Arabidopsis thaliana: one gene and its partners. The protein of the gene in region 1 purifies or fractionates together with the protein of each later gene. This does not show direct contact. Each region holds a gene or a part of one and is shown in the gene's direction. Other genes may lie near its edges.

Region 1 (5,170 bases):
GTGAAAGTAAAAAAATTAACATAAAAAAAGTTATTCTCTAAATTTTCTTAGGGCGTATGGATCGGAATGCTCTTTGGAATATTCGTTCAGACTTGTGTGCTTACCGTCATGACTCTGAGAACAGATTGGGATCAACAGGTTATAAATCGATTACTATGTTTTCTAATTTGTTCCTAGCAAGCTATGTTTTTGGTGCTTATTCTTATACCGTTTGTTGCCAAATATATTAGGTGTCAACGTCGTTGAGACGTTTAAATCGGTGGGTTGTACCAGAATCTAGAGACGTAAACCAAGTATCATCAGAGGAATAAATTGGATTCTAGATTGTCTTTAGCACCGTCACATTTTATTCTTAAAAGCTAAAATGTAACTTTTAGGCTATGTTCCAAGATTGTGAAGACAAGAATATGACAAATTTGGGTCGATTTGATGTCCTCGCAACTAACTTGTAATAAGATTCTAATGTTTAACCAAAAAACGAAAACGAGATCCTAATTTTTGGATTAACACTAGATAGTGTTACATTTAGCTATGATTCATCAAACACAAAATTATTTTGGGGTTTATAACCAAAAAAATAAAAATAAAAATAAAAAATTTACTATTTATGTGAAAAGAATAACAAAAATTAAAATATTTGGGTGACCTTCTCAAATAGTATAGAAAATCACACCAATTTTATTTTGTACTATTTGAGATATTCATGGTAAGAAACCATAGAGCGATGCTCTAAAGTCTAAATAGTGACAGTTTGGTTTTAAAACATTTAAAACAAATTTGTTGACTAATAGAACTGAATTTTTTTTTGTCTCATTTAACAACTGCAATTGTAACATATATATATTTTTAATAGAAATAAATTAACAAACTTTTTTTGATGATTTATGAAAACTATTTAATGATATAAATGTTTGGATACTAAACTTGAATTATTTCTCCGTCGGCTTTGTTTGAAAATATATAGAAAAAACAATTAACGGGCCATGTGCTTGTTGCAAATAATCTATTTATTTTTCATTTTAGGAATTTTGTTTCTCGGCACGAGTTGGGCTGATTTTGATAAGCCCACATGACATTGTTTTAGGGTTTCTGTTTTTCTTCTTTATACTTTTTAAAACGCGGCCAGTGAATAATTTTCTAAGGTTTATGCTTTAATCAATGAGATCAGTTAGAGAGAGAGATAGAGAGTTTTGTACAGAAAAACTCCATAGTGGTTCATATTCACAACTTTATCCTTCAAGTCCAAAAAATACAAAATAATCTTATGAAGTCCAAAATAATACGCAATATAATCTTTTTTTCACTATTGTCAAATTTAAATTTTTTGATAAATAATATACCAAATCAAAGATCTCTAGATAAGGAGTTCAACTTTATCTTCAGAATTCTCAAAAACTAATGTATGAGATCGTGAAAACATTCTAATATATGTAAAATTAAAAAATGGACTATATTGCGTATTATTTTGTATTTTTAGGACGTATAGGATAAAATTATAAAAATAGACGATTTTAAGGTTTTTTTTCATAAAACCTTTTTTTTAATACAAGTTAAATAATTTTTTTGTAAATAATTTTTTGTTGGAATGTCAAATTTATTCAACAAAAGAAAATGATTACAAAGAGTTTTGAAAGCTAAAAAATAGAGAAAATAAACGTGAAAAGTAGAAACAAAAATAATGGAATTGGCGCCACTTACATCATTACAGAAAGTTCAAAAGGCCTAATTCTGACACAATATTATTAACGGGCCATGGGCTTAATGACAATAATAAACTTTTCTCACTTTTGAGTTTTAATAAGCCCACATTTGCTTTAGGGTTTCTGCGTCTCTACCTTTAAATTGCTTCCGACGATTCATAAACTAGGGTTTCTGCCTTTAGCCGTCGTGAGAGAGAGAGCAAATCGAAGAGAGAGCAAAGAGAAAATAATATGTTGTTTGCGTTTGGTACGGTGACTCGATCTGTGGCTAATTCAGTGGTGGTTTGCTACGGCTTTCTTTCGACAATGGTGTTTTCTTTCGACCTAAACTTGATAGACCGAACCAAACTGAACCAATTTTTATATATATTTACTCAATTAAATCCTAAACTCCTCTATTTGATCTGAACCCGATCAACCCGAATACATAAATATCTAATCTTATCCATCTGAAAGGATACTAAACTCTCTAATTCGAATTACCCGAATCCAGAAAAAGCCGAATAGCATGCATTCTATTGGTACTTGATTATATTAATTGGCATATATATGACCTGTTATTGCCAATAATATATTTTGGGTGTTTCCTGGGCTTCAGTTTTATTGGGCTAGGAATGGGTGTACTTTTAAACCCACTTCTGATTAGTCTCTTAGTAAAACCCACTTTTAAACCCACTTCTGACCCACTTCTGACGCCGTCATTTTTCTTGAGAAGGAGAGAGAGCACCACTTCCGTCATTCCAGCCCAATATTTTTAACGGGCCATGGGCTTATTGTAAATAATGTATTTTTCTCATTTTTGGTTTTCTTTATGGGCACGATTTTAGTGGGCTGAATTTTGATAAAGGCCCACATATGAAAGATATTTAGGGTTTTTTCTCTTGATACCTTTTAAAACGCCGTCGAGAAATCTCCCTCTAGGGTTTCTTTGATCAAACCAGAGAGCCGTCAGGGAGAGCAAAACAAAGATCGGAGAAGATGAAGACGATTCTTTCTTCCGAAACGATGGACATCCCCGACAGTGTTACCATCAAGGTTCACGCTAAAGTGATCGAAGTCGAAGGACCTCGCGGGAAGCTTGTTCGCGATTTCAAGCATCTCAACCTCGATTTCCAGCTGATCAAGGATCCAGAGACTGGAAAGAAGAAGCTTAAGATCGATTCGTGGTTTGGAACACGCAAAACCAGCGCCTCCATCAGAACCGCTCTTAGCCACGTCGATAACTTGATCTCCGGTGTTACCAGAGGTTTCCGTTACAAGATGAGGTTCGTGTACGCCCATTTTCCCATCAACGCCTCCATCGGCGGTGACGGAAAGTCTATCGAGATCCGTAACTTCCTTGGCGAGAAGAAGGTTTGTTTTATCTTCTTCATCTCTGATTTGATTCTCATAGATTCGTGTAGATCTCGGAATGAAATAGACTGACACTAGATTCAACTTTATGATTGGACGATGATGATTGATTTCTGAGTTTGCGAGCACTGAACTTACATAGAAATGTGTTTATTGGAATAATAGGTGAGGAAGGTAGAGATGTTGGATGGTGTAACCATTGTTCGATCTGAGAAGGTGAAGGATGAGATTGTTCTTGACGGTAACGATATCGAGCTTGTTTCAAGGTCGTGCGCTCTGATCAACCAGGTACTCCATTCTTTAACTAGTAGATATCACAATTTTGTTTTAATGATCTGAAGATATCACAATTCTCTCATAGTCTACTATATCCACAACAACTTGAAATTAATCTTGGGTCGAAAAGATAGAGCCGTTGTGTAGTATAGGAGACGTAGATTTCTTTTGTTTTGGTTGATGTTTGAGTTTGGGATCACATTTTGCATAGTGAAATCGAACTGATTCATCTATAACTGATTTAATGCGCTCTGGTCAACCAATATTTTATTGGTTAAAATGTGTTTCTCATAGTCTTGTACAATATCAACTAGGAATATTCTGAGCTAACTTGGCCGAGTTTGCATATTGTTGTATGAAGGAAAGCATAAGCGATTGTGTTTAAAAATGATTCTTTGTTGACAATTTAACTTTGTTGTCATATATTTCATAGTTGAACTGACTTGATTCTTTATGTTTTACTGTCTTATGTAACTGCTATGGTTTGCATTATTGTGCAGAAATGTCACGTGAAGAAGAAGGATATCAGGAAGTTCCTTGACGGTATCTATGTTAGCGAGAAAAGCAAGATCGTAGAGGAAGAATGAATACTCATATTCCCCTCTTAGCTCATATTTCTTGTGTTTGGAATGTTGTTAGTTTTGTTTTATGGACCAAATCCACCGGTGATGTAAACCTTGCCTTTTTTTTGTTCGAGAATTTATTAACTTATGCAACAAGTTTTGGAGACAATTAGAGACCCATTCACTCTCACACTTTTGCCAAATTACATCTTCTCGGATGAATTTTGAATTCTGAAGAATTTGGTTGTGTTTTTGAATTCCAGAACATTATAATCCATTGTCCTGAATGAAAACGCCCACAAATTTAGAGGGTGTTATCGGTTCCTAATTTACAAGAAATTTTGATGACTTTAGTTAAATCTTTGAAAGTAAAGAAATGAAAGATTATAAACGATTGTTAGAGAGTTTTTTGATAATCTTGTTGATTAGTTTTTTATAATTTTGTAAAGTTTTCCAAACAATCTCTCTATTTTAATAATATTTTCCATGACTTTCCATGACTTCATTTTGTAAAGAAAAGTGTAGGAAATCATGAACCAATAACACAATAATTTAAATCATTAACAATCATTAAAAATCAAAGATTCTTTTGTTTTAATTGAATAACACAAAACTTTTAATGATTTAATAAAAGTTCGTATCTAATAACCCAAAATTTATGAAGATTTTAGATTACTTTTTACAAATCTTAAACGAATAACACAAAACTTTAACATACTTTAAAAAAGTCTTGATTGAATAACAACAGATTTTACATGACAATTTAAATCATTAAAACTCTTTTGAAATCATAAACGAATAACACCCTATTAATATTTAGTCAAATTAATACTCATACTTTTTCTAACTTAAATTTAATACTCAAATACTTTTTCAAATACTCAAATTTAATATTTAACAAAACTTTTTCATTTGTTACTCAAATAAACTTTTATAATTCTAGCTGGGAAAATTTCCAAAAATAAACTTCAACTATTTAATATTTGCCAGAATTCTTTTTTTTTCTTTTCTCGTTGCCTAAAATAATCTAATCTAGTTTACGGCCCATAAAACAAAGGGTTATTGAGTTTATAGTCATAAACTAATTGCATTCTCAGATTTTCCTCAATGGATTATAAAATCAGCCATAAACCCTATAAAATCAGTCAATTTTTTTTTTCATCCTAAAACAAACACAAACTATTCTTTATTTTCTAATTTCTCTTCGTCTTCGTTATGGCCGTTAACGACATCGTTGACGTCGTTACTATTTTTGAGAAAATTTCTAACCCAAATTAT
Region 2 (4,016 bases), on another chromosome or scaffold:
TTCTAGAGTTTTATGGTAACAAAACTAATGTCAAATATGTATAATTAGGAGCTTATCCTACGCCGCCAGTGTCTACCGGTCCATACGTGGCACCGCCACCGCTCGGTTACCCAACGAACGACACGACTCATGCTACGGTGGCTCCTGTCGAGACAAAGTCTAAAGGTGAAGCTGCTGATGGATTCTTGAAAGGCTGGTTAGTCTCTCTTTTTTCTTTTCTTTTTTTCCAATCCTTTGGAAAATTTTAGGACAATTTGTTATTGTGGCTCAACGTAACCGGGACCGCACGTTTGATAAGTTATTGTTTTTTTTTTTGTTAAATGCAGTCTTGCGACCATGTTGGCCTGTTGCGTCCTCGACGCATGCATTTTCTGAGTTCGGAGGAAGCAGTCGATTGTTTATTAAATTTGACACTTCATGCAAATATTTTTCATTGTATTTTGCAAGTAGTTTTTGGGATTCGATTAGCTTATAACATTTGGACCTCCTATTTGTTGATTTAATTATTTATTACTACTTTTTTTATTTTATTACAACTTAGTTTGTAATAGTAAAATTTATTCTACTTTGTGCCCAAAACTGTCAATTGTTGTTCATTTAAATTTCTGGAATTAGATTTAGATACGCTAAATTAAATCACATTTTGCGTTTATATTCCCACCTAATTTGAAACCAGCAATTATTCTTCTTCATAAGAAAACTTTCATGTGCTCTCTCGAAAATAAAGTTTTACTCTAATAACAACACGCACTTTGGACGAGATAAAGCGATTCAAGTAAAATTATTATGGTTCAAACTATTATCTAAGATCCGTTTGTGTAAAACATAACTTCTAATAACATATATATTCTGATCTACTTTTGTTAGTTTTTATTAGTTAATATAAGCGTTAATTATTGTTCTCTCTTTTGCTTAACATGTAAATATTCCCATGGAGAAAGAAGTACACTTTTTGCTTTGAGAAAGAATAAAAAAACTCTTTATTATTACTAAATCAAGAAAAATATAAAACCATGCTGCATTTATCATCATTTTACATATTCTATATATAAGGTTCTCTAATTCGTATACTTTTGTAAATAGAGAACAACGAATTAAAAGACCAAATCGATAGCATCTTACCTTTTTGTTGATATTTATTAAGAGAAAAAATCAACACATTGTTATTCTTCAAGAGAATAAATTTCTGGAGACTTAGCAGTTAATGCAATCTGACCTCACGCGTTTTTTTTTTTTGACCTCACGCGGTTTTACTAAACCGACCTTCGTTTACTTCCCTTACCTCTCTATATATATATCTCTATCTTCATTTGCATATTTCAATTCATTTCATAATCATACACCTCTCTACATTTGTTACTACTTTCTTCTAACTTGTTTTCAAAGAGAAATCACAATCTATCTGTTCCAAGATGAGTCAATACAGCCAAAACCAATCTTCAGGTTTGTATTCTTTTCTTCGTACTAATTTAGCATCAGACCATATGTTTAGTCAATATTCTCATGGTTATAATCATATTTGCAGTTTCATAGTAGTAAGTACTTTTTTAAATGGTAATAAGACTAATGTGAAATATGAATAACTTATAGGAGCTTATCCTACGCCGCCAGTGTCTACCGGCCCTTACGTGGCACCGCCACCGCTAGGTTACCCAACGAACGACACAAGTCATGCCACGGTGGCAACGGTGGAGACAAAGTCCAAGGGTGATGGATTCTTAAAAGGCTGGTTAGTCTTCTTTTTCTAGTATAAACCAGGCATGCACGTTTGGTTAACTATCAAACCGGTTCGGTTATCGTGTGTTGCATTGATTAATTTGTTTTCTTTCATTTTTTGAATGCAGTCTTGCGGCCATGTGTTGTTGTTGTGTCCTCGACGCATGCTTCTGAAGACTTAGATGGTTTATTTTGATTATCTTTGTATTTTGCTTTACCAAAATGATTCGACTAGGTTTATGACATTTGGTACTTCTATTTGTTAATTCATTTCTATATCACTCTTTCTTTTGCATTGTGTAATTTTATAAATTCTTAATATATCGTTTGTTTTCTCTTAGACATCTTCTAAACCACGCTAGATTCACATTTTTGACTTTATTACCGGTTAGTCAACGTGGACTTAAAATCAATTTAATAACACTATATAAGCCAAAGTTATAAACAATTAAAACTCTTGGGGTTAGAATGCAAATAATGAACAAATCGATGCGTATAAATATCTCCCGATAAAGCCCTAGAATCCAAGGAAGCGCCGAGAGAAAGACAGAGAAGAGAGTGACAATGGTGAAATGTATGAAGCCAGGAAAAGCCGTGATCCTTTTACAAGGACGATACACCGGTAAAAAGGCGGTGATCGTGAAATCCTTCGATGACGGTACCGTTGAGAAGAAGTACGGTCACTGTCTCGTCGCCGGATTGAAGAAGTACCCAAGCAAAGTCATTCGCAAGGATTCGGCAAAGAAGACGGCTAAGAAATCGCGCGTGAAATGCTTCTTCAAGGTCATCAATTACCAGCACGTGATGCCTACGCGCTACACTCTTGATTTGGATCTGAAGAACGTTGTCTCCGCCGACGCGATCTCGTCCAAGGATAAGAAAGTGACGGCTCTTAAGGAAGCGAAGGCGAAGTTTGAAGAGAGGTTTAAGACTGGCAAGAACAGATGGTTCTTCACCAAGCTTAGGTTTTGAATTCTACAGTTTTTAATTTTAGTTTTAAAGTTTCAATTTTTATCTACCATGAATTGTTTTTGCTTCTGGTTTAGCTCAAGGTTATGTTTTGTTCTAAATTTCAGTAATATATATTCAATTTTGATGGTTAAAGTTTTAATCTTTCTAGTAACTCTTCATTGTGAGACATTTCTTTCAATCTTGTGGTTAATGAAACACAAATTTATTAAGAAATGAAGAATCAATGTCAGATGATACAACAAGGATTAAAAAAATTCAAGGTGTTTTGGATCTTTTTGCGCATAACCATTGCCTTGATGTTTGGAGATCATCTTCTACGCTCATTGGTACATGCCAGGTTCCATCTTCAGACTCCTGCATCATTCATCAATCAATCATCATCATTAATGCAAAATGCATACGAAAACATTGAGATGGACATAGAAATGTGAGTGTTGACCTGTATAACAATGGAGTATGGAGGTGGCATATTAAGTTTGAGTCCATCTTCTCTAGTGACAGAGATCCGAACCTGCAAACATTGAATCCAGTATCAATCAAAAGCTTATGTATATACATTACATAGACTCTTATATTATATGTTACCTGATGCTTCTCTTTCCACCTTGGGAAGAAACTATTTCCAAGTAACTGGAAGAGATGGTCTCTCATCTCATCGTTTGTTACTAACAAACATTTGCAACTTACCGCAGCGTAAAGCCAATACCTAGAACAATTTGATTTCACATAAGAAATGGTTGTCTTTTTTGGATTATTCATGGTCAATGTAATTCATAGACCCAGAAAAAAAGGCAAATGCAAATACCAATCATCGTTTGAGCCAGGAGGGGTAGCATAGAGAGCACCAGCGTTTTTCCATTTCTCTAGCAAGGCTCTGTTTTTAGGGTATGTAGCTGGACCTCCATTTACACGACTCTTGTGCAGGATCACAAGTGGTAACCTTTTCGACGGGCTTATTTGTTGGCATCTTTGGACAGTGTTGTTAAGCTAGTGGGGAGAGATAAAGAGTCGCATTAGATAAAGTAGTCAAACAATGGTTCTTGAGATTGGCATTAGAATGAGAAAGAGTCAAAACCACCTGGAAGAAGCTGAAACTGCGCTGGTTGACTAAGCCCATGTTGGCTCCATCAATGACTGCATCAAACGGTCCATGTCTTTCCAGCCATTCCTGCAAGCAAAAAACAACAACACATTTCTCAGGTTTTCTTTTAGATAGTTTTAATACAATCTTTTAGACAATAATTGTTACCTGAAACTGATTAAAATTAGCCTTGACTTCTCTTTCACATGCCAATCGGGTCAACGATGCAGCAAAGGTTTCTGTCTCA
Region 3 (5,614 bases), on another chromosome or scaffold:
GTTGTTACCAATTGTGTGTGCTGTGAGTAATTTATATGATTTATTATTATTTTTGTCACTTTTACAAGTTTTAATTTGATATTTTTGAAAAGAACGTCACTTGAACCAAAATAAAAGTTCTACTAATTAAAAACATTTTTATAGAACAAGAAAAAAACAGTTTTTGATAATTTGCATAAGCTAAAAACATTTGTAATCTAGACATTACCCGAAAAATATTTATTCAAAATTTTAAAATACAAAGTTAGTGCCCCATATCTTTGTAAAGTACTCCAATTTTGTGATTTGCAGTTTAATTACTACTTCAATCCGGTAATTTTAATCTGATTTAGTTTCATACCGGCATTTGGGATAAACCGGGTTCCCGGTTAAACAAATTCCAAAACATTATCCAAAACAAACAGAGAATTTTATCAACGGAATTTTCCCAAAAGAAAAACAGAGAATGATGAAGCTGCAAGGGGGACTTCTCCAGTGGAGTCGTAGCAGCTTAATCCCGTCGATTTATACGCCAATCAACAAAACCCAATTCTCTATCGCCGCCTGTGTCATCGAGCGGAACCACCAGCTTACGGCGAAGGAGAGACGGCAGCTCCGGAACGAGCGGCGGGAGAGTAAATTGGGGTATAGCTGGCGAGAAGAAGTTGAAGAAAAGTTGATTAAGAAACCAAAAAAACGGTATGCAACGTGGACGGAGGAGCTGAATTTGGATACTTTGGCTGAGTCGGGTCCGCAATGGTGGGCGGTTAGGGTTTCGAGACTTCGTGGTCATGAGACTGCTCAAATCTTAGCTCGAGCTCTGGCTCGTCAATTCCCTGAAATGGAATTCACGGTAATTGGAATTTTACTGGATATTTGGGTTGTGTTGGGTGATTTTAAAGTTTGGATTTTGACAATGAGATTGGATCAAACTGGTATCTTGATAGAATTGCTGACAAACTCTAAACAGTTGTTGATGGAAAGTGAAAAGATTTGATTTTGGGTTATTGTGTGATCTTTAGAATTTGTGGGGAATTCATACATTGGTATTGAAACAAGTGGCTTTTGAATTTGGTTGTCCAGGTTTATGCACCATCTGTTCAAGTGAAGAGAAAGCTAAAGAACGGTTCTATATCTGTTAAACCGAAACCAGTGTTCCCTGGTTGCATTTTCATCAGATGTATATTGAACAAAGAGATACATGACTCCATAAGAGACGTTGATGGAGTCGGAGGTTTCATAGGTTCAAAAGTTGGAAATACGTGAGTAGTATTCTCACTCTCACTCTCACCCTATGTGTGTTAAGGTCTGTGAATTAATTTGTATCTGCATTTTTTTTTTGTAGCAAGAGACAGATTAATAAACCAAGACCAGTAGATGACAGTGACTTGGAAGCTATTTTCAAACAAGCAAAAGAAGCGCAAGAGAAAGCAGATAGTGAGTTCGAAGAGGCAGATAGAGCTGAAGAAGAAGCGAGTATACTAGCGTCACAGGAACTTCTCGCATTATCTAATTCAGATGTTATTGAGACTGTAGCAGAATCTAAACCGAAACGAGCCCCGAGAAAAGCTACACTTGCTACTGAAACAAAGGCGAAGAAGAAGAAACTTGCAGCGGGTTCTACAGTTAGAGTTTTATCAGGGACATTTGCTGAATTTGTTGGGAACCTAAAGAAACTAAACCGCAAAACTGCAAAGGTACACTAACTAACTACTTCTAGCTCCTTTGTGTTATTGATAACAAAGCTGGTCAATTTGCACAAATGTGTTTGTTTAGATGTCTCTCTGATTCTTTCGTATGGTTGGTTGCAGGCAACGGTGGGATTTACTTTGTTTGGGAAGGAGACACTAGTGGAAATTGACATCAATGAACTTGTTCCTGAGATTCAATCTTAAATAGTTTGTTCACTAGAATGTGAATTTTTTGGTTTGAAATATAAATCCATGATCACTTCACATGTTTTGGAAGTTTTGGTGTGTTTGTTCTGTTAAATTCGCCAAACGATTGCAACGACGACGTTCTATCTTCATTTGAAAGATGAGAGCCTTTACTGGTTAAATGGGCCTAATTTGTGAAAAGGCCCAACAAACAAGAGCCGTCAGATCAGAATGAAGCAAACAGGCACGAACCGTTAGATTAAGATTCACAAAGAAAACCCTAGAGGTTCCCTTATCCTCAGGCCAAATCGTGAACTATAAAACGGCTGATACCAAAACCCTAATTTCTTTACGTCAAACTCTCTCTATACACAGAGTTAAATTGAGTTTGTGTCTCGTAACTTATCCTGTGAGCGAAAATGGTGAAAGCAACTAAGGCAGAGAAGAAGATCGCCTACGATACCAAGCTATGTCAGCTTATCGATGAGTACACCCAGATCTTGGTCGTTGCGGCCGATAACGTCGGATCAACTCAGCTTCAGAACATCAGAAAGGGTCTTCGTGGAGACTCCGTCGTGCTTATGGGGAAGAACACTATGATGAAGCGTTCCGTTAGGATTCACTCTGAGAACACCGGAAACACTGCAATCCTGAATCTGCTTCCTCTCCTTCAGGTAAACTTTCTTAGCTTGTCCAAAATGATTGAGATTTTATCGATGTGTTTGTGTTTAGAAAATAATTTGCGATGGTTCTGTGTTCGTTTTTTGTAGGGAAACGTTGGTTTGATCTTTACCAAAGGTGACCTCAAGGAAGTGAGCGAGGAGGTTGCTAAGTACAAGGTTTGTTAATTGCTCTTGTTTCATATCTTATTTACAAATGTGTGATTATAGCTTCGGATAGTAAGTATCTGATGCATAGAGGAATCATTTCATGCTTACATTAGTTTATACATGTTCTGAATTTACTTGTGTTGCTTTCGATGGTATCTGATGTATAGTGTAATCATTTCTTGCTTACGTTTCTGTTTATATTGCCTGTGTTCCTATGAGTATTACAGTCATCCCAAGTAGAGCTCATCAATTGTGTAAAAAGTTGATGCTTTCTCAATGCGATTGACTTATGTATAATGTTGTTGCTTTCTCAACGTGATTGGATTGTGTAATATGTTGATGCTTTTGCAATATGATTGGGTTAAAATGTTGATACTTTTTCAATGTGATTCGATTGTAATGGAACTTTTCTTATTATGAATCAGGTTGGTGCCCCTGCTCGTGTGGGTTTGGTGGCTCCAATTGATGTGGTTGTCCAACCTGGCAACACTGGTCTCGACCCATCCCAAACATCTTTCTTCCAGGTTTGTTTTAAACTTACATTTAATGTTTGATTTGATTCGTTTGACGACAATTTGAAGTTAATTGAACATGTATGTGTTTTGGATTGTTTTAGGTGCTTAACATCCCAACCAAGATTAACAAGGGTACCGTCGAAATCATCACCCCAGTTGAGCTTATCAAGCAAGGTGACAAGGTCGGGTCTTCTGAGGCTGCGCTTCTAGCCAAGCTTGGCATCAGGCCGTTCTCATATGGTCTTGTTGTCCAGTCTGTCTATGACAATGGCTCAGTCTTCAGCCCAGAGGTTCTTGATCTTACTGAAGACCAACTTGTGGAGAAGTTTGCTTCTGGTATCTCCATGGTCACTTCCTTGGCTCTTGCTGTGTCGTACCCTACCCTTGCTGCTGCACCGCATATGTTCATCAATGCGTACAAGAATGCCTTGGCTATTGCTGTTGCCACTGAGTACACCTTCCCTCAAGCAGAGAAGGTCAAGGAATACTTGAAGGTTAGTATGCATTAAAACTGTGCATCTTTTTCATTTTATTTCGGAAGTTTGGAGTACTGATTTTGTTTATGTTAACTCTCTGGAATGCAGGATCCAAGCAAGTTTGCTGTTGCTTCAGTAGCTGCGGTGTCTGCTGATGCAGGTGGTGGTGCCCCAGCTGCTGCTAAGGTAGAGGAGAAGGAAGAGTCCGACGAAGAAGACTATGGAGGTGATTTCGGTTTGTTCGATGAAGAGTAGATTTTGTCGGTTAAGATCTTACCTTTTTGTCGTGGATTATAAGTGTTGCTTTGTTTTTAGTATGTTGGACCTCAATTTTCTTGGTTTTAGCCAATCCAGTTTTATGTTACTACTGTCTTTTATTTTTTGGAAAGATTTCGTTTTCTTATGGTTGCTTTAATATTTTTCAATAATGTCTGGACGATGAATTTGCAATTTATCTATCCGTCGAGAAAGTTAAGAGCTTCTTATACATGACTTTGATAAAATTTGTATGAAGCAGAATCTTCTTAGATCTACAAGTTGAGTCATTTTATTTCTTAGAAAGTAGGCACAAATGTCATATTCTAAAAGTAAATGAGGCTAAACATGATAGAATGTAATAAAACTGAGATACAAATCAGAAACGGCATTAACCTTAGTCAGCAACCACTACGAGGGAGAAAGTGAGTGGGACTGAGAACGAATCAATCTCTCTGCATGTGTTGATGATATTTAACTTCTTCCTCTGCTTTCTTCGCATAGTTCCACACAAAACAACAAACTTAAATACTTCTTGAAAAAATGGAAGTCATTCTCAAATCCTAGAAATTCCATTTTTAGAAGGAGAAGAGTGAGTGAGTGAGTAAGAGAGAGAGAAGAGCTCGTCTCTGTAGTCATTAAATCAGAGAGAACCAATTTTAGTCTCAGTATAGCTATGGCGATATTCAAAACCCTATCTTTTCTGGTCCTTTTATGCTTTGAGATACATGGAACCGCAGGTGTGGATTTCACGTTTTCATTTGATGAATTCGTAAAATCTCAGAGTTTTGACAAGAGTGTTGCTCTGTTTGGAGATTCGAAGCTGGTCAATGACAGTTCTTCGATTCAGCTGACTGACTCAGTGAATCGGACCGAGGGACGAGTCTTTTACAAGAAACCCATCAATCTATTCCAAGGTAAAGAGAGGAACTCCGTTATTTTCTCGACTTACTTCTCGTTTTCGATGCCCAATGAGATTGGTGATGTCTTGGCTTTTGTAATGGTTCCAAGTACTTTGGATCTTAGTCTGTTTGGTAAGAAAGATTACAGTTCCTCTGCTTTAGGGTTTCTATTAGAGTATGCAAAGAACGAGACAGTTGTTGCTTTTGAGTTTGATATCTCCAAGAGAGGAAACCGTGCAAGAGTCTTAATTGGTAGACCTGAGTCTGCCAAAATTAGAAACCTTTCGTTTGTGGGTGACTTGATGATGGATGATGGAGGGATTTTGAGCTGTATGATTGATTATGAGGCAAGTTCTAAGAGAATGAGGGTTCGTTTCAGAAAACGTGGTTCGATAAAGATGTTTGATCCGTTCTTCTCTTTCTCGGTAGACTTGGAGAAGCTTTGGAAAGGTGGTGAAGTCATGGTGGGTTTAAGCTCTGCTAATGGGAACTCTTCCAAGCCACATTTTCTCCATTCATGGAGCTTTGAAATATGGCATCTTGATCCGATATGGGTGCAACCAGCGCCATTAGGACCAAATGAAGGTTTGAAGCCGGACGTTTCCACGGAAATGGAAGAGGGCCGAGAAAATAGTGAGTGTATATGGAGAATGCTTGGTGCTCTGGTCTTGGCTGCAGTATGTGGAGCCGTAGGGGCAATGTCAGCTATGTATCTTTGGACTATTTGCAGTGTTAGGCGGTCAATGGCCGTGGTTCCAGAGGAATGTGCAGTGAGCATTG
Region 4 (5,077 bases), on another chromosome or scaffold:
AGAGTGAACAAACCATACTTGCCAATAGCAGCAGGAGATCTATCAGTGCAGTCTGCTTGGTTGTTAGTGATATTTTTTGCGATAGCAGGGCTTTTAGTTGTCGGATTTAACTTTGGTCCATTCATTACAAGCCTATACTCTCTTGGCCTTTTTCTGGGAACCATCTATTCTGTTCCACCCCTCAGAATGAAAAGATTCCCAGTTGCAGCATTTCTTATTATTGCCACGGTAAATGCTGTTTTATGCTTCTTAATCAATATACAACTATCACCTTATGTGATATTTTTCGTGGCTTGGGAACTTTTAATAACATAATTCTGTATTGACATTTCTTATCAGGTACGAGGTTTCCTTCTTAACTTTGGTGTGTACCATGCTACAAGAGCTGCTCTTGGACTTCCATTTCAGTGGAGGTTGGTAGTCAAATGCACAAAACTTAATAAACAGGTCGTAATAATAGGATGGACTTTGCATACTTGTATGGATAGAGTTTTAATATATGTGAGGGACCAATTGTTGTTTGATTTCAGCAAATTAGTCAAACTTTGTACTCACAATGAGAGAGGAACTGTAGGAGCTCCCCATAATCGTGAGTAGATATATTACTCAACTTTTGATTCGCTATTTGCAGTGCACCTGTGGCGTTCATCACATCTTTTGTGACACTGTTTGCACTGGTCATTGCTATTACAAAGGACCTTCCTGATGTTGAAGGAGATCGAAAGTAAGTAACTGCACGCATAACCATTTTCTTTCCGCTCTTTGGCTCAATCCATTTGACAGTCAAAGACAATGTTTAACCAGCTCCGTTTGATATATTGTCTTTATGTGTTTGTTCAAGCATGTTTAGTTAATCATGCCTTTGATTGATCTTGAATAGGTTCCAAATATCAACCCTGGCAACAAAACTTGGAGTGAGAAACATTGCATTCCTCGGTTCTGGACTTCTGCTAGTAAATTATGTTTCAGCCATATCACTAGCTTTCTACATGCCTCAGGTGAATTCATCTATTTCCGTCTTAACTATTTCGGTTAATTAAAGCACGAACACCATTACTGCATGTAGAAGCTTGATAAACTATCGCCACCAATTTATTTTTGTTGCGATATTGTTACTTTCCTCAGTATGCAGCTTTGAAAAGACCAACCCTCTTATCCTTTAACAATGAACAGGTTTTTAGAGGTAGCTTGATGATTCCTGCACATGTGATCTTGGCTTCAGGCTTAATTTTCCAGGTAAAGCATTATGAGATACTCTTATATCTCTTACATACTTTTGAGATAATGCACAAGAACTTCATAACTATATGCTTTAGTTTCTGCATTTGACACTGCCAAATTCATTAATCTCTAATATCTTTGTTGTTGATCTTTGGTAGACATGGGTACTAGAAAAAGCAAACTACACCAAGGTAAAATACTTTTGTACAAACATAAACTCGTTATCACGGAACATCAATGGAGTGTATATCTAACGGAGTGTAGAAACATTTGATTATTGCAGGAAGCTATCTCAGGATATTATCGGTTTATATGGAATCTCTTCTACGCAGAGTATCTGTTATTCCCCTTCCTCTAGCTTTCAATTTCATGGTGAGGATATGCAGTTTTCTTTGTATATCATTCTTCTTCTTCTTTGTAGCTTGGAGTCAAAATCGGTTCCTTCATGTACATACATCAAGGATATGTCCTTCTGAATTTTTATATCTTGCAATAAAAATGCTTGTACCAATTGAAACACCAGCTTTTTGAGTTCTATGATCACTGACTTGGTTCTAACCAAAAAAAAAAAAATGTTTAATTTACATATCTAAAAGTAGGTTTAGGGAAACCTAAACAGTAAAATATTTGTATATTATTCGAATTTCACTCATCATAAAAACTTAAATTGCACCATAAAATTTTGTTTTACTATTAATGATGTAATTTGTGTAACTTAAGATAAAAATAATATTCCGTAAGTTAACCGGCTAAAACCACGTATAAACCAGGGAACCTGTTAAACCGGTTCTTTACTGGATAAAGAAATGAAAGCCCATGTAGACAGCTCCATTAGAGCCCAAACCCTAAATTTCTCATCTATATAAAAGGAGTGACATTAGGGTTTTTGTTCGTCCTCTTAAAGCTTCTCGTTTTCTCTGCCGTCTCTCTCATTCGCGCGACGCAAACGATCTTCAGGTGATCTTCTTTCTCCAAATCCTCTCTCATAACTCTGATTTCGTACTTGTGTATTTGAGCTCACGCTCTGTTTCTCTCACCACAGCCATGGCCACCGCCGCAGATGTTGACGCTGAGATTCAGCAGGCGCTCACTAACGAAGTCAAGCTCTTCAACCGCTGGACCTATGACGACGTTACGGTAAATTATTAAGCTTTCACTCTCTTAATTTTGGTCTCGCTTTGATCCTCTAGCTTATGTTTCATCTGTGAGAATCATTTTCCATCTTAGATTAGTGTAGAAGATTTGGTAGCTTTCTCTTTAGATGTATTGTTTTACTTTAGCGTTTGTCATTGGGATACATATCTTACATTGCTTGGCATAACCTTATACGCTTGTTTTGGTGGTAGTTAGATTTATTTGTTATAGTTCTACAGCTTAATTTATGGAACATTTAGCTTCTGCTAAATTTCACTGTTTTGCGATTTGTTTTTCATTTTGCTCCCTGAATGATTGGATCTCCGTTTTGGCGTTAGTATGTCAGATTCTTAGTGTTGTTAGTGACAATTGTTTTTTTTCATCTTGTAGGTCACAGACATCAGTCTTGTTGACTACATTGGAGTTCAGGCAGCTAAACATGCTACCTTTGTTCCCCACACCGCTGGAAGATACTCTGTGAAGAGATTCAGGAAGGCTCAGTGCCCCATTGTTGAGAGGCTCACCAACTCTCTCATGATGCACGGGAGGAACAACGGTAAGAAATTGATGGCTGTCAGGATCGTCAAGCACGCCATGGAGATTATCCACCTCTTGTCTGACTTGAACCCAATTCAGGTCATCATTGACGCCATTGTCAACAGGTACTAACCTTGTGAAGTATGCTGAAATAGTATCATTGGAACAAGGAACATTTTATTCTTATTAATGTTTTGTTTGTTGCTTGAGCCAGTGGTCCACGTGAAGATGCTACCAGAATTGGATCTGCTGGTGTTGTTAGGAGACAAGCTGTTGATATCTCTCCTCTAAGACGTGTTAACCAGGCTATCTTCTTGATTACCACTGGTGCTCGTGAAGCTGCTTTCAGAAACATCAAGACTATAGCTGAGTGCCTTGCTGATGAATTGATCAACGCAGCCAAGGGCTCTTCCAACAGGTAAATACACTTCCAAATGACTTCACTATTGTTCATATAACTTAAAGTGAAGCTAATGATTGAACTGTTATGTCTTGCAGCTATGCCATCAAGAAGAAGGATGAGATTGAAAGAGTTGCCAAGGCTAATCGTTAAGGATTTTCCCTTTGCCCTGTGCGTTACAATCTCGTATCAATGAGTTTAATGTTTTATCTTCATTTAGATTGAAATATGTATCTCAGATGTTTGCTCTTTTGTTTTATGAAGTTTATTTCGTCTGAACTACTTTGAATAGATAAATTTTTGATGCTTTAAGCTGTTTCGCATCAGTTTATTGTCAATTTTTGAACTTATCTAGGCCACCTGAAGCTAGAAATTTAAAGAGTTCGCTATTAGTTCTAAGTTTCTATTATCTGGTAATCAAGCTCGTTTTCTGAAATTGTCTTAGACCATTTGCATTGTTCTCAATATGGTAAATGATTGACGAAGCTTTTATTTCTGATGTCATATACAGTATGTCTTTCTTATCTCTTGTTTATAGTTTAAGACACGACTTCTTTATGTGTTCCATGTTATCAATCGCAATTAATCAGTTCCTTTATTCGTTCGAAAGTTGGGATTCGATTAACAAAGATTCAAAATTAGGAAGACAATTTGCTTTTAATAAATTATAAACATACAACAATATGATCGGGAATACAACAACAGATGCAGAGAAGCAACAGTCTACAGATCTTCGCTTCTTTATTCGACCCATATTCATATTTCATTGACATCACTTTTCCAAATACACATTTGCTTAAAATGTCACTAATTATCCAAGTCAAACACACGTACATACAACACTCTTTTTTTCTTTTTTTTCTTTTTTAGGTAAATTATGGCACACTCATTATAAAATTCGTACTAATAACCCAAACATGTAAACAGCTCCATATTACTTAGTCATCTCCTTAGGTGGCTTGACAATAAGGATGGGGCAGTTGGCGTGATGAGCGCAGTAATCGCTAACGCTCCCAAGAAACGCTCTTCCGAAACGCACAAAGCAAACAAAATAATAAGCGCTCAAATTTATATATAAGAAGAAGTTATTAATGATACAATACCTTTTGATCTTGCCAAGGCCACGACTACCCACAACGAGAAGATCAACGTGCATTTTCTCCACCGCCTCACAAATCATCTCCTTCGCCTCGCCTTCTAGCACTAGAGTTTCAGTACGTATCTGCACATCCATCACACAATATGTTTTAATCGCGTTTCATGTCCAATAATTAGTGTAATGTCTTTAGGACATGTGTTATAGAATCGGACCTGCTTGGCTCGGCACATTTGGAGAGCGCGAGAGAGAAGGGCAGCAGAGGTCTCTTGTTGTGCCTTTTTCACTGACTCTATCATTGATGAAGATGCGTACACTGCTGCTACAACCGTTCACAAAACCAAGTCATACACAATAACATTTCTATACCTATAAAGTAAACAAAACTTTTTTTATTCTTTAAATCTACTTATTCTTTCCGACTAATACTATAAATTAGATATAAAAGATGCTACTAGGGAGTAGGGTGTATGAAGGAAGAAAATATCTACTATGATTATATTAAGATGTTATTTCAATTAAAATTCGATACTTAAAAAAGAAAAGAAAAAAGAGAGGTTAATGGACGAGACCTGTGGCGCCGCCCGGTCCAGCCGGAAAGGCAGCAAAGTGATTGAAAGGGGACTGCACATGAATCACCGTGAGCATTCCACTTTCCGCCTCAGCTGCCGCTGTGGTCAATAAAAGAT

The links.
Region 2: the proteins of AT1G33120 (region 1) and AT2G32220 fractionate together in Arabidopsis thaliana (co-fractionation; one large-scale study listed by BioGRID). This does not show direct contact.
Region 3: the proteins of AT1G33120 (region 1) and AT3G09200 fractionate together in Arabidopsis thaliana (co-fractionation; one large-scale study listed by BioGRID). This does not show direct contact.
Region 4: the proteins of AT1G33120 (region 1) and RPS5A fractionate together in Arabidopsis thaliana (co-fractionation; one large-scale study listed by BioGRID). This does not show direct contact.

The regions. Positions count from the first base shown.
Region 1 is NC_003070.9:12,008,308-12,013,477, forward strand, and holds AT1G33120 (Ribosomal protein L6 family), read left to right. Parts: upstream 1-2,571; 5' UTR 2,572-2,678; coding exon 2,679-3,053; intron 3,054-3,218; coding exon 3,219-3,341; intron 3,342-3,829; coding exon 3,830-3,916; 3' UTR 3,917-4,240; downstream 4,241-5,170. Other genes in the region: AT1G33110 (MATE efflux family protein), read left to right, coding at 52-138, 231-311.
Region 2 is NC_003071.7:13,676,665-13,680,680, forward strand, and holds AT2G32220 (Ribosomal L27e protein family), read left to right. Parts: upstream 1-2,245; 5' UTR 2,246-2,280; coding exon 2,281-2,688; 3' UTR 2,689-2,859; downstream 2,860-4,016. Other genes in the region: AT2G32200 (cysteine-rich/transmembrane domain A-like protein), read left to right, coding at 49-196, 327-375; AT2G32210 (cysteine-rich/transmembrane domain A-like protein), read left to right, coding at 1,413-1,443, 1,591-1,729, 1,845-1,890; PRORP1 (proteinaceous RNase P 1), read right to left, coding at 2,944-3,042, 3,128-3,199, 3,274-3,394, 3,494-3,675, 3,767-3,856, 3,938-4,016.
Region 3 is NC_003074.8:2,821,682-2,827,295, reverse strand, and holds AT3G09200 (Ribosomal protein L10 family protein), read left to right. Parts: upstream 1-2,054; 5' UTR 2,055-2,275; coding exon 2,276-2,530; intron 2,531-2,626; coding exon 2,627-2,695; intron 2,696-3,111; coding exon 3,112-3,210; intron 3,211-3,302; coding exon 3,303-3,695; intron 3,696-3,785; coding exon 3,786-3,932; 3' UTR 3,933-4,208; downstream 4,209-5,614. Other genes in the region: PTAC13 (plastid transcriptionally active 13), read left to right, coding at 446-832, 1,063-1,241, 1,325-1,676, 1,791-1,874; AT3G09190 (Concanavalin A-like lectin family protein), read left to right, coding at 4,609-5,614. UniProt on the Arabidopsis thaliana protein: Ribosomal protein P0 is the functional equivalent of E.coli protein L10.
Region 4 is NC_003074.8:3,776,543-3,781,619, reverse strand, and holds RPS5A (ribosomal protein 5A), read left to right. Parts: upstream 1-2,074; 5' UTR 2,075-2,178; exon of another isoform or gene 2,179-2,263; 5' UTR 2,264-2,265; coding exon 2,266-2,358; intron 2,359-2,745; coding exon 2,746-3,017; intron 3,018-3,106; coding exon 3,107-3,310; intron 3,311-3,390; coding exon 3,391-3,445; 3' UTR 3,446-3,796; downstream 3,797-5,077. Other genes in the region: HST (homogentisate prenyltransferase), read left to right, coding at 3-228, 340-413, 632-724, 881-998, 1,174-1,236, 1,380-1,412, 1,505-1,579; AT3G11930 (Adenine nucleotide alpha hydrolases-like superfamily protein), read right to left, coding at 4,227-4,514, 4,604-4,707, 4,961-5,077.